Drosophila melanogaster: one gene and its partner. The protein of the gene in region 2 interacts with the protein of the main gene of each other region in a pairwise test. Each region holds a gene or a part of one and is shown on either strand. Other genes may lie near its edges.

The links. The genes of interacting proteins can lie anywhere in the genome.
Region 1: the proteins of Spn77Ba (region 2) and CG7786 interact in a two-hybrid assay, tested with the Drosophila melanogaster proteins (one large-scale study listed by BioGRID).

The regions. Positions count from the first base shown.
Region 1 is NT_033778.4:16,232,792-16,239,034, forward strand, and holds CG7786 (uncharacterized protein), read right to left. Parts: upstream 2,146-6,243; coding exon 1,567-2,145; downstream 1-1,566. Other genes in the region: CG15701 (uncharacterized protein), read left to right, coding at 1-86, 176-1,195; CG3687 (uncharacterized protein), read left to right, coding at 4,065-4,240, 4,298-4,553; krimp (krimper), read right to left, coding at 5,543-6,195.
Region 2 is NT_037436.4:20,313,808-20,322,307, reverse strand, and holds Spn77Ba (serpin 77Ba), read right to left. Parts: upstream 5,119-8,500; 5' UTR 4,536-5,118; coding exon 4,520-4,535; intron 3,925-4,519; coding exon 3,495-3,924; intron 3,438-3,494; coding exon 3,167-3,437; intron 3,111-3,166; coding exon 2,742-3,110; intron 2,684-2,741; coding exon 2,417-2,683; 3' UTR 2,192-2,416; downstream 1-2,191. Other genes in the region: Spn77Bb (serpin 77Bb), read right to left, coding at 1-257, 315-668, 736-1,039, 1,107-1,267; alphaSnap (alpha soluble NSF attachment protein), read right to left, coding at 6,761-6,910, 7,005-7,325, 7,385-7,700, 8,424-8,500.

The sequences.
Region 1 (6,243 bases), on a different chromosome or scaffold from region 2:
TGGATGTGCGCAGCTTTAGATCACACTTGAATGCTGGAGGAGTAGCTGCGACTAGTGGTTTGCAGACGACGTACAAGGAAGTTCAGGTAGGTTTTATTGTAGTATTCATTTATAAATTCTATGTAAAGATCTATATGAATACATATAATTAATTATATATGCAATCCTTTGACAGTACGCCTCGCTGAATGACTCCGGCCTGCTGACCATGTGGACCCTGGTGGAGGGCGCCTCGTCCACCAACAGCAACGAGTTCAGTTCGCCGTGGGCGCGTGTGAAGCTACTGCAGAGTGGCAGCTGTGATCTGAGGAGCTATCTGGAGCGACGCCTCCTGAAGAGCCATCAGAGTGCGTACGAGAAGACCAAGTCCCTGTTCCAGGGCAACATCTACAGCGATGATGTGCTGCGTGAGCTGAATGACACGCAAACGCTGACCACGGCACTCCAGGGACAGGGATTGCAGGGCCTGCGCTTCACCAGCATCGATACGGGCAGTGAGCTCATCTATGTGTGCACCAACCGAAACTTTGTGCTCTGCTGCACGCGTAGTTTGAAGACGGAACGCTTCGCGAGGATCGCCGTGAACGAAAGTCGTTTCCTGTTTCCCACCTCGTTGTGTGTGCTCTCCAATGAGAACTATGTGGCCGTGGGTCTGTCCAATGGATCTGTGATGATACTCAACTGCAATCAGCGACAGAGGCAGCGCCAGAGGAATCAGCAGAGACCCAAAACAGGACTTCCGCCGGCCACGGATGAGCCCGATCCCGAGACGGGCAAATCGTGTGCCATTCAAAACATCATACTCAACGAGCGTAGATCATTTGACCAGCAGATGGATGACAATCCCACGTACGATGCCCGACCCAACACAGCTCTGGAGCTGATTGAGCGACCCAGGCGTTCCTACGAAATGAGGGTCTTTGACCAGCAGCTGCTCCTAAGTGGCAGCGGTCTGCGCCAGCATCTCGTCCAGGCCCTGATCCTCTCCAGCGACGGCTGGCAGCTTTCCGCCCTCACCAATGGCACTGTGCGTCACTACGATTTCTATCGCGACAGAGAGTTACCCGTGGAGGAGCTCATGGACACACGCCTCAAGGTGACGGACATTGCCGGTGCTCGAAGTTGTGGACAGGAACAGGTTCTGCTCATCCTGGACTCGACTGGAAAGGTGCAGTCGCGCACTCTGGACTACTAGCTTGTTAAATATTTTCTAATTATTTGTATGCGTTTGTTGAAATCATTTTTTAAAATGAAATAAACTCGAACTAGTCCTACTCACTTTTAATCAATTTTAATGGTTTCTATTGCACAATTTGTGATATATAAATGATATATATATGACTTTATAGAACTATAGTACTAGCACTAGCAAAATACTCTATATAGATGGGCCAATATTTATATATCTGAATAACATATTTTTTTAAGGGACACCTGCATATGCATACATATATTATTAGAATATCCTTAGTATTTATTTTAAACATTTATTAACATCAAACTAAATAATCTCACTAGCTTCCCTCATTGATATGTACACTTTTCCATCTGATCCCGCAGAGTGGTTCACACCTGCCTGGCCATGGACAACATGCCGCCGGCTGTTGTGGCTCCGAGGAGCTGGCGCACCGTTTGCAGTTCATCCCGCAGCGCCAGGACCTGCGCCCGCAGAATGGAGTTCTCCTGCTCCAGCAGCGCTGCTCGGAATGCTATCCTATCCTCGCGGATTTTCCGCGCATCTCTGGACCTCTTGGCCGCCTCGTTGTTTCGCTTGCGCCGCTCAAAGTACTTGGCATCCTTTTGAGCCTCCGGAATGGGTCGCTTTTCACCGCGGACGCGACGGTGCACAAAACCCGGAAACATACCGCCTCCAATTACGCCCACACGATTGAGCTCCATCAGCGGAAATTCCAGTGCCTGGAGAGCGTGACTTGGTGGTGCGATATACTCGAAGGCGGGTAGAGTTTCCGACGATCTCTTGGCACCGATCATGCCGGGAAAGCCCAGACCGGTTAGCCGAAGATTCTGGGGAATGGAAATGGAGTAGGACGGATTGTTCTTGGACTCCAGTTCCGCATCCAGTTCGGAGTGCATCGATACGGTCTCGGTGACATCCAAAATGGGCGACTGGGCGGGCGAGTGCATCCTATATCGGTGACTTCCGTTCGCGCCGACGGCCGGGCTATATCTGAATCCAGCTCCTGGCTAAGAAGCTAGCTACTGGCGAGGCGACCACCTGCCTGCCGTGGTAATTATAGGTTCTTGTCACACAAACTCCCCCACGTACACACACACACACACACATACACCCGCTTTGGGGCTAATTCTAAGCCAGCCACAACCCTCCATCGCCGGCTGATTCAACCAATCACGCAATGTTGACGGTAATTATTCGTCAAATACATGACACTTGGCCGGGGCCGCATGGCATTTATTTGTGCTGCCCGGTTACAAGGACTTCATATAACTGGTTAGCCAGATTACATGCCCCCAGCCCAGTCCAGTCCACCTCTCCCCGCTCGCCGATCACTTCTTGGCCCTTGGAGTTGACCAACTGTTATGTGTTGGGGCGGAGATAGTAAGGCTTACCCATTGTCCATGCGCTGACCAATGAGAGTGACCCTTGGCTATCGACCGGCATTTTGTGGACGAATATAACAGCGATAACAGCGGTAATAGTCTGAAAGAGGCGTGGTGGAAGCCTACTTGCACTCACTGAAAGTTATCCTTTAGGATATCTTACTATATAGCAAAACATGGGGTAATGTAAAATGTAAATCATGAATATGCAATTTTTAGTCATTACATTAAAATGAAGCCATCTTATTTGAACCATTATACAATAGATATACTTTTTTTGATCCTTAAACTGATAGTTCTTGTAGATTCCTATCACTCCAAATCATTTTATCAGATATTCTAGGCATAATATATCTTCAATTGCTCTATGTGAACTTTTTATTTCCGAGGTTTTTTGAGACTTAAAGGATTTTTCCAGCGTGTACCAATCGATTTCAATAGTCCTAAGAGGAATAGCTTCTGCTCCTTTTTAGCTGAGCTCCAAAAACTGCAGCGTCAGAAAGTTGCAATATGCCTAATCCGCTATTATTAAGACATCAAAAAGTTGTTACCAACTTTATTTTGATCAAGCATGATTCTTCAAAATCGTAAAATTTTACTTGCCTTCCGACAATGCCACTCACGACATCCAAGACCACCGTATGCATATCCAACAACCATCGACATGTAAATGAACTCCGTGTGTCGTCTTTAACCCGTTCCGTTTCGTTTCGGTTTGAGAAAGTGTCACCTGTTTGTTTGCCGGGGTGGTAAATTGGCAGTTTGGGTCACGGAGTCCTTGCCGTCTCCGGCAACCGGAAGTCGCATCCTTATGGCGTTTCATAATGTATGCGCTAATTTATTATCTGTTGGCAAAAGTTTGGGCCATACATAGTTAACCCTTTGACTGTCATGCCACCGATGTTTCGTTTATGGTGTTTTGGCCCAACTGAGAGCCGAACCCGGAAATAATGGATTGCGTGCCGGAGTGACATGTCTGGAGAATTGGAGGCAGTCTAATATCCATCAAAGGGTCGAGCGAGATGGATTCGAAATGCACACATATAGAAAGCAGTACGTTTTGGAATCGGTTTGAATTGGTTGGCATTACCAAACCACCAAACTTCTACTCTACGGACTGAGTTCGATTTTTTTTTACCCACCCCGGGGACCCATTGCTAATGCATTGGGAGGATCGTTTTGGACATAGGCTATTAATGCGTTAGACAAATTACCGGGTAATCTAGACAGTAGAACACGTTATTGCTTCGTTGTTTGTTTGGTCAGTAATTGAAGAGCAAACCTCGTGGACTTCGCGGTGGACAAACCGTTAATGACACCTTTAATTGGATGACATTAGCACCCGGGGGTCTGGGGCATGACCAAGTGGGCCCTGCCCCCATCCTACAGTCAAAGCATAGGCTTCGCTTAGCCTGTCTCTCGGAATAGTATTCATCTAACAAGTATTCATCGAACAAGGAAATCGTATTTTTATAAGCAACGAAATGTGTGACGAAGGATCGATCAGGGAATGTGAGCCCACCACCTTGCGGCTTCCTTTCAACAGCTACCACATCAATTTGCCGCTATATATTTTGGACATGGTGCGCATCTTCCAGGATCATCCCAAGTACAGCAATGGTATCCACGAGGAGCACATTCTGGAGATGCTGGAAAAGGAGTAAGACAGATCGAGTAATATACTTAATGGTAATGGTAATGCTAATCATCTAAATAGACCCTTTGCCTGTGGCGATCTGGAGTCGCAGGTGAAGACCGCTCTGCTGGACCTAACGGCCAAGGGATTCATACGCTTCATTACCAATGGATACCGCACCCTGGGACCCATTGCCAAACTCTCCAATGCCCGTTCCGCGCGCCACTTCAACATGACATGGCAGCGCATTGCCGAGCTGCAGAAGGTCAACTGTCCGAGCCTGGAGGCGGGATCCATCTCCAGCGGACCCTGCATCCAGCGCGGAGCCAACTACTAAATGATTTCACTTTTTGTTGTGTTAACCATTTCGTTTATTGAGTTCATTTCCTTGCAGATCAGCAGAGTAACGCGCCACACACACTCTCCACACTTCTTCCAAATTGTAATCGTCTAGTAAAATTCCTACAAATCCAAGTTTCGGGGTAGTTAGTTGAGTACGGGTGGTCATAATCATCATTATGTTGGGAACACATGTCGCGGGGTCTGCCATCCTTTTGACACTTAACCAGGCTAATTATTCTCAGGGGTTGGAATGTCGCAGGTGTTTATAGGGGAAATGCTTCCGAAACTGATTTAAGTATTACCATTGTGAATAGGCCAACTATCCCTGTTTGTGATCTGGAGTACATCCCCGACGAACTGTGCCCCAATGTGACCCTTGGCCAGGCCCATTACCCTTTTGGCCGAACCGTTTAGATTGTCAACACCAGGACAGCGGAGGACACAAGGAGGACCTGTCGTCATCGCAGTCCGAATATGTGCCCGCGAACCAAACACGCATGGGATCCCGGCCAGGTGGTATTTATTGCCTCTCTAATCGTTGCGGCATAATCTATTAGCACCCCACCCGACAGACAGATCCGCGCTTCCACGTCCAAAACGGTGTCCCTTGATTTTTTGCTTTTGCACATTAAAGGCAATTATTTTTATTGTTTTAGTTTCGAGACAGTTTTGTGTTTGTCATTTGCCAATGGCTGTTCCGCGCTCATAATTGAACCAGCCCCAAGATAGGACATTAATCAAGCCACATGACATCTGGATAACATGTTCGAACATAGTCAGTTTATTGGGATCGCTCCGAAGTAGTGATAATTCAAAAACAAAAAGAGTCCTTCGAAAGAAATGTAAGCATTGTCATGATAATGTAAGTGGTTAAATTGTAACATGGTCAGAAATGAAAAGCTTACAAATAGCTTAGGAACTATTGTTATGTAAACTATGTCTACTTTAAATTTGATTAACATTATTCCGACGACTTATCCCGACTTATTGGCTAACCTGAGCGTAGTTGCGTTGCAATAGCTGTTCAGGTATATATTTCCAATCGTCCAGGAAGCGAATTAGGAAGCCATCCGGTAGGCGCTGTACCAGATGTACATTCATCTCCGTGTTTAGCAGCTTACTCTTGAGATACTCGATGCATTCGATTGTCTTTTGGTGTGTCAGATTTTTTGACCTTACAATTCCCTCAATGTGAAAACTAAAGACGCGGTGGGGCTTAAAGCTGTCCACGTTTTCACATGGAGCCAAGCAGCTTAGGGGCACGAACTCCGTGTTGCCGTAATCCACATAGAAGATCATGTACTCACTGGGGAATTCATCGATTATCTGGGCGCGATAGAAGCAACCATCACTGTAGAGAGCAAGTACAATGTCAAGAAGACGCGGTTTCGACTTGAAGGTCCGTTTGTTCTCTGGCACATCCTTTTTGTCCCACACCAACGGCGGAGATCCGTCCAAAAACTGGCCATAAACCTCGGTGGGGCCATTAATAAAGGTGATCAGGATGCCGACAATGCTGCCGATTTCAAAATGCACTGTTGTATCAAAGATTGTCTCAGGAAGAGCTCTAGCTAGCTCCACATCTTTGGTGGCGCCATTCGGAGCAAAGGGCTCATGAGCAAAACGACAATTGTTACCTTACAAATAAGCCACGTATTAAAACCTTTACTTTGTAAACCAATTTT
Region 2 (8,500 bases):
CCTTCCCGAAAGACTCCGGAGTGAATGAGCAATTTGTGTTTCTTTTGTAGGACAAGGTATGCAAACGGCCTGTTTACATGGAACTTGATGTTATTTTTTCCAGAAGACTTCTGCGGAACAGCATTAGGCAAACCCTCTTCATCTACGACGATCCTGGCGAATTGGTGGTAGAGGGTGAGGCACGCACCTCTGTGACCGATAGCAATCAGCAATTTATCTAGATCTGCGAAGTCGTTCCTCAGATCCGTTAGTCCAGCCTTTGGAAGATGTTCATTATGACGAAAGCTTTGTATTTTTTAGAGACTTTTACGTACGTCATATACGGTATCTTCGAGTGAAAGTACGGATCGCGTATCGAACTTGGGAAGCTTGACTTCTACATCAGTTTCATTCTTGGAGGCCTCGAGTTTCTCAAGGAGGCGATGTAGTCCCAGGTTCTTCAATTGGTAGAGCACCAGGTTAACTCCCTGGGATGACTTCGGCAGTAAGACGATCATTACTAGCTCATGTTCCCCAAAAGGTAGCTCCAGGACATCCGCTTGCAGACCCTTTACATTATTGACGTAGGCATACTTCCCCGTTTGCACCATCATCTCCACCTTACCTGCCGGCGAGCCGCCGTCGTTGTAAAACTGTTCCACTTTCGTCTGGGACTTATCGAATGGATACTGGAGTCATGATATCAGATATATTAAATACAATACAAGCGAGGATGAATCTGGCTCTGGGTCTTACCTTCCATTTGGCCTTAAAGTAGCTAACAGTAATCCCCAGCACAGTTACTGTACTATTGAACGAACGACGGCTATAAGAACTGAAGATTTTCGCATGAGAGGCTTTGTCGATATCGTCGTTGATTATTATACTCGCCCCCTGGTCGAAGTCCACACCCCTTGGCCGACCCTCTCGAAGAACCACATTTCCTTCTCCTACTCCTTCTAGGACTACACTGTTGTACCCTTTCACGAGTTCTAAATCTCCTACGTCGTCGTAGTAAGCGTAACGCAGCGAAAACAGTTTTGTGTTTTCCGAATTTAAACTAGAATTTAAAGAAAAAGACATTGAAAATTCTAATAGATGTAGTTTCTGAGTAATGTGGTACTTACTAGTGATAAGCTCGGACATCCTCGTACCACCTGCGCAGTGTTGGATAATCGACATAGATCCCCAGGACATCGCGCAGCTCATTGACGGTATACCCTTCTGCTCCCTCGTAGAACATGATCATGAGCACCATGCCAAAAAGCCCCAGAAATCCGAGCTTCATATTGTCAACAAAATTTACTTGGCTAGACCGATAAGAAATATTTCAGCTGAAGCAAAAATATCATTTACTTTTCTTACCTCTTTGTGCACCCGAAGACTACTCAAAACTGTTTTTTTATTTACAAAAAACTATATTTATATGATTTACTTTCGTTAATTTGTGGAGTTCAATATTCCAAGCCATGTATACTTTATTTTTATGTTCCCGTTTTTTTGCACGTGCCTTGCATTTTTTATATCAGTTACTCGTAGATTTTGTCATGAGTATGTAAAATAAAGTAAAAAAAGTAAAGTAAAAAAATGTTTCAGTAAAGAGTTTTGTTAGTAAAAACTTCCAAAAAACGGTCCTTCTGGCGGCACAAGCACGTTTAATAGCTGCAGCTTATGTTTCCTTATCTTCGTATTGCTTTACTCCTTCGTATACCTTCCGTATTTTGCGATCTGGAGAATAGTAGTGGCCAGGTCACGCTATTAACGTTTTAGCTCGAAATAAAAGACATTGCTAATCGACAAGGAATTGAATCAAACAGATATTTTAATTTTGGGAATACGGACTCCAGCTCTACTCTTCTCCCACTCTATCGACCACAAGTCGGTCAAATCTGGCAAAATTTCTGAAAGAGAACGATTTTTTTGGATTTTTTTAGTTTCCTTATCCATAATATCCAGTGACATGGCGAAGGAACACCAAAAGTGCCCGAAGTTGTTCAGACCATTCAACTAATTTGCAGCTGCTAATTTTACAGTGTTCATTACAGCAGTTTTTCAGCTGTACTACGCGTTTTATTCGATATTTTCAAAGATTTTCAAAGCCGCAAGAGGGCGCTGATGTAGAAAGCTTGGCATCAGTAATACCAAGATCGTCGCGTAAATTAATATTATTTATATTCTTTAATAAGAATACGTTAACAACTTTTACATGTGACGAAAATATAGCGGTACAGTGAGACTTCCCCATTGTGCTGCTTACTTGACGTATCCTGACAGATTTTAGTTCCTGGCCGTGACGTTAGAGGAATCTTTTGGGCTGCCACAGTAGTACAGAAGTGGTACATGAGGGAGTTGCAAGGATCCGTAATAAAATTCCCCCTTTTGTCTTAACGTAACGTATTTATTGTGGTATGTGAGTAAAGTGTGAGTCGGTGGACTTTTAGGCCGCCTTGGGATTCCGCACTTGTCCGGCGAAGAGGAGAAGTCCGGTTGCCTTCTCTACGATCATGTACTGGAAGGGCCGGTTGAGCAGGAACTTGGGCGGTGTGGCCTTGTTGGCCAGCGCTGCCTCCGTGACGGCTCCCGCCGTGGTTCCCTGTTCGTCCACAATGATCTTGGTTGAGTGGACGACCAGCTTGGCAAACAAGCCGGAAGACATTCGGTCCAGGTTGGCTGTATTCTCGTCGAACAGATCGCGAATGCCCATCTAGAATTAGAAGTTATTTACAAATGTATTTCCAGATTGGATTTAGAAGTTCTGTCACCTGGATGAGGACTCCCTTAAGAGTGAAATCTGTGGCAGTCACAAACTTGGGCATCATGACCTCCACTTCGTTGTCCTCGGAGGCCCTGTTCCTGAATGCCGCCAGTCGCTGGAGGATGGGCCTCAATCCCAAGGCCTTCAGATTATTGGCTACGTCGTTTAGCTTGAATCCGCGCTTGGGCAGCACCACGATCATCGCCAGACGATCCTGGGTGCCGTAGGGCAGCTCCAGCACATAGCCATCCAAACCCTCTACGTTTGAGACGTAGGCGAAGTTCGCTTCCTGCACCATCATGGGAATCTTTCCAATGACTTCGCCGCTCTCGCTGAAAAAGGGTTCCTCTCTTGTCAGCGTTTTGTTGAAGGGAAACTGCAAGCGAAAACGATATATCGAAGGATTTGCAAGTGGACAAGTTCACTTCCCACCTTCCATTGGCCCTTGAAGTACAGAGACGAGAGCAGAAACATCTTCGCTCCATATACATCCTGTGGCAGAATGGTATAAGGAATCAGACCGCGGGTCGTGCGATTTGTGTCCTCGTTGATCTGGATCACCGAATCCGGGCTATAGAAGTCCACTTCCATCGGCTGGACATTGTAGTTTTGAATAGCATCGCGGTAGTTGTTCTTGATGGGATACCCCTTGCCGGTGTATATGGCCTGCAGGGTGGCTACTTCGATGGTGGAAGTGGTGATGCTTAGAAGAGGGAAGGGGGTCACCGCGATCCATAAATATGCAATCCTATAAACTCACTTCAGAAATGAGCTCCAAACCTTGTAGGCGCCCCGAAGCTTTTCGTCCTCGACATTGATCCGCAGGCTTTTTTTCAACTGGTTGCGGGTCTCTCCCTCGGATCCCTCGTAGAGAAGCACCAGGAGTGACCAGACGGAAAAGGGCGATATCATGAAATCCTTGTTGGCCTTCTCCACTTCAACGGATATGCGCTGCAGGAGATCGAGGGCGAAGTCCTGGACCCCCTGCGAAATGCTGACCAGGACATCCGTGTCGAAGTTGCTTCTCATGGACTGGATATGGCTGACGCCACTTTGGAAAGCCGTGGGAGCTGTGAATGCGGTAAGGGGATTGCCCACTGAAAGCTGGAGGGGCGCTTGGTTGTTCTGAGGATCCGCCGAGCACAGGAAGATGGCTCCCAGGAGTAGTGGAATCCATAGCATCAGGCAATCTGGATTAAGATGTGCATTAGAACGTCATTTCATTAAGGATCATGATGTTAAAAGCCGCACTAAAATTATTGTATTATTTTACACCAACATCATTTTAAAATGCGTTAAAGATGGATAATTTTATAAATTTCGAGTTAAATAATCATTTTACGGTAACTGTTTTCCATCGGAATATAATTTTATTATTCATTTCAGAATGTAAGTTTAAACCATATACATATGCAGTTAGCCAATTGTCCTTGAACTCCGTATGAGTTAAACCAACAACTCGATTTTGAAAAACTGCCTGAAAATCCGGCATAGCTATTTCCGGTCTAATCAAATCGAATGAAATTCAAAGGCACTCGCGTGAGTACTATGTACATATAGTATTCCCAGATGCGTAAAAATAAGCATTTTCCAATTGATAGCGATGATCCATTGACGACCTCATGTGTTTGTACGTAATACAAAATGTATATATGTATGTACATAATATGTGTTTGCTGTGCACACACGAGTACTTGTAAATTTTAAATCTCTTTATTGATTGCCTCTAAAACAACATCCCCGCCTCTGGGAAATATTCCATAATTAATTGACCACGAAGCTTACCTGCGATTTTACCCATTTTTTGTGGCTGCGATCAAGAATTGGCTCAAGCCTCGCTTATCAGGCCTTCAGGCCGGGCTTTTAATATTATTTATAATTGGGCCTTCAGGCAGGGCTTTTAAAATTTTTATAATAATTGCGCACACAAATGAATCACACTTTTGCTTAACCATGTGGGTGTGCATCAATTATTGAGAGGCTTTTAAACCTTTTATTGATGTATTTTGGGGTTTTTCGATGTTGACAAAGCGACGTTCATCTATATGTCTCTATACACTGTTGTCGGTCGGTGTTATTCGAAAACCGGAATGCACTGAGGGGAATTCCACATATATTATGTATACAAATACACGCTCGCAAGGAGACCATACGTACAGGTGGGTGGGGTGTTCGCGTATGCGGTTGCCGCTTATATAATTCTATATATTTATTTCAATTTGTGAACCCAGCTACTGGTGGTTTTCGGTTTTGCCAAGATTTTGATGCCAGATCGAACCCACGTCCACACAACTCCCCACAAACAATGTCAACCTAACGCACGAGCATCAGCTGAGTGACTGAGTGACTGAGAGACTGCTCCATCGACCATTCAGCACCGTACTGATATGGTCATCCCATCCCACCGCCACCGCCATCGTCCCACAGCCGGGTCCAAATCAGTTCAGACTCGGATTCAGATGCGAGAGCCGCAGCGAGAGAACGCGGTATTGATATTGGCAGACCTTTGTCTGCCGCTCTTGACAATGAAGCCTCATTCGCGAAATGGAAATCAGGTGGAATCACTACTATGAGTTGCAGCTAATCCGATGGTGAAACTGGTTGAAATGCCGGGTTAACTCCAGTAACTCACCTTTAGATCACATCTACATCAACTGTGCCTGAATCCAAGATATTTTAAAAGGTAACTACATGTATTCAAATGTATATGCAATATTGTAAGCTCGTGGATGGATGGTTAAGATGACATCAAATATGAGCTGTAGAAGACATATGCAGGTAGCTCTCAACTGTGTTTTATAATCATACAAATGAATGTTTTCAATACCAGTAAGTTTACAAGTGCAATAAACAACAAACTTCAAGGTAAAAAACATTTTTTTTTCCCAAGTGACAGGTGCAAACTAATGATATACTAGAAAGACAATGCTTATGGATGGACTGGAATATATGCTAGGCACCATTTTAGGAAACATCGATGGATACGAAGAGAGGATGACAGGATTAATCCAAGCGTTAACTTTATTAAAGTATTTGAATTGGAAATATCCGTGGTAACGCTTGCATAGAGGCATTACCAGGATCTTTGCAGTATTAATAATTAAATGTGTTGGGTCAGGTTTCAGTGGTGTTGTGTGTTTCCTGGAGATCTTCATTCAATAAATTCAATAATTGATTTATTTATTCTTGCTTCGGCCTCGACGACCGCGTAATCTTCGTCGCTCCGTCGTAATATTATTTATTGGATTATAATTCGCTCGTACATGTTGATCTACTAAACATCGTTAAAATTTTGCGAGATGGAATTTTCTATAAATGTGACCCTCAAGTATTTATTAGAATTCCGTGTACTTTTTGGATATTTATCGGGGTAATCGGTAATGTTTATGTGGACATATATTTTATTTGTAGGTTGTGTATATGCGTACAATCTAAACTTTAGGTTTAATTTTATTTCAGTGCACTAAATGGAATTATAATTGGTTTGAAATTCATTTTCGCTACCAGGGACTCTTTAGTTAATCTCAAAATTATCTAACACATTACACACATAGAATGAAGTTCTCAATTTATTATAGTAGTGGATACAGATTTCTATAGGGTACTTTACGCATCCAAATGGAACATCAGCTAACCCACTGATTGATTGGCTACTTACACAAATAACAAGAGTAACGCAAAAACAGACAAACATAAGTAACACCTCTAATCACTCCACATTGGAAATAATAAAGTTTTTCTTTTGAATAGCACGTGGTAGCGCAATTTGAGCCTCGGCATCTGCTGCCTTCTTCATTCGTTGCATAAACGTTAAATTAAACTCTAGAATACGGGAATATAGACTATTCCATAGGTTTAATTCACGCGTACAAGCTGGCCGTCGTTTGGGTGCTTTCAGGTTAAGCAATGCAACACGTTTAATAATTTTCTTTTAGTTATATATGTATAGGTAGATTAATATCCGAACCGAATAAAGCATTTAATAAATGTGTACGCGATTTTATCCGAAAATTTAATTGATTTCGTTTATCGCAGATCGGGATCCTCGTCCGCAGCCTTCTTGATCCGCAGCAAGATGGTGGTGTACCACTGATCCAACCGGGAGATGCTGTCGTAGTCCTTGACGGCCTCTGTGAATCCCTCGATGTTCTGTTCCTCTAGATTCTCGCACAACACCTGTAATTCGAAAAGCGTCTTAAAGTAAATATCTGCGAAAACCAAAGACGACACACACACACCAAAGATAAAACTTAAGCAAACTGATACCCACCTTGATGAGCTTGAACTCCCTGGAGTCCTGGAATGCTGGGTACTGCTGCGCATACTTTTCGATGGCATGCTGGGCGTTCAGGAGGTCCACGCTGAGATGGCATAGAGCGGCCCTGAAGAAGTACTCCTTGGCACTGTACTTGAGCAGAGAGCTCTCCAGCGAGGAGGCGGCCACCTGCTCGTATATGGATATTGCTTTCTCGTAATCCTCCAGTTGGGCGGCGTACTGGGCCACCTTCAACATGCACTTGTTGGCCGAACTGACCGACTCTTCACCCTTGAAGTAATCAGCCGCCTGCTCATAGTGCTGAATAGACTTGGCCTGAAAGGGAAATGGTCCATTAATATGTAATTAGCATGGAGGCGCACACGGGAACCCACCAGATTATTGGGATCACTTTCGTACATCTCGGCGATGCTTTGGTGATGTTTGGCAGCCATCGTAAAGCGGCCCATATCCGTGTAGATGTCGATGGACTTCATCAGGCAGTTGACGGCGCTCTCCACGTCCACCTTCTTGTAGCAGTTGGAAGCGTCTACGTAGCAGGTTCCGGCATCGTGACGACTTCCAGCCCGCGCGTGTAGAGTTGCCGCCTCGCAGAAGCACTCCCCAGCCTTTGTCCAGTTTTTGGACATCTTAAACATGTTGCCCGCCCGCTGGTAGCACTCGATGGCGTCCTCCACCTTGTTGGACCCTCTGGAATAGTAGATATCGATAAGTAATAAGCCTTAATGTAATCCAAGGGATCAGAAAAGAGCATTAACTTTTTACTAATGATAATATTTTTATATTATCATTTATATATGCATATACGAAGGTGGTTTTGAAAAGCCTATTGTTTAAACTTGGATTTGTTTCTGGATGCTGTGCAAATATACAATTTTTTGTAAAATACCTTAAAAATGTAGATTTTTAAAAACAACTAAGTTTTTCAGCGAACTGAGGAAGTTTCCAAGTACGAATTACAGTTCGAATGGGTAAAACAAAAAATGTATTTCAGCTTACATATATAATTTCTTTGTTTTTTATTTTACACGATTGAACTTTTGTGCACTATGATTCATCGAAACCTGTACGAATGGCATAGTGTACATATATTGTGTACTACGGATATTTTTTAACGACATTTTGCACACTTTTTGTTCTTCATATCTGAAACTTATCTCTGTAAGTCGCACTTTTGCGCTATTTTCTTCTCTTTCTGGGTGGAGGCGTAGAGTCCACAACTGCGTATACGTATTATGGTGAGTGGGTATATACATAAAAACAAAGTAGTAAGCATAGTGAATTGGTATCCAAGTGCTATTTGGAATAGGGCTCAGTACCTTGTGGGGTTGTGGAGATGCTAGGCTAGACCAGACACAGCTCCATTTCCCCACTCCCACAGAAATTGCGAAACTTCTTTGATTTGATACGCACCCGAACAGCGATCCCAGAAAGCCCTTCTGCTGGGTCAACTTCTTCTCCGCCTCGGCCATCAGCTGGAGCGCCTTCTG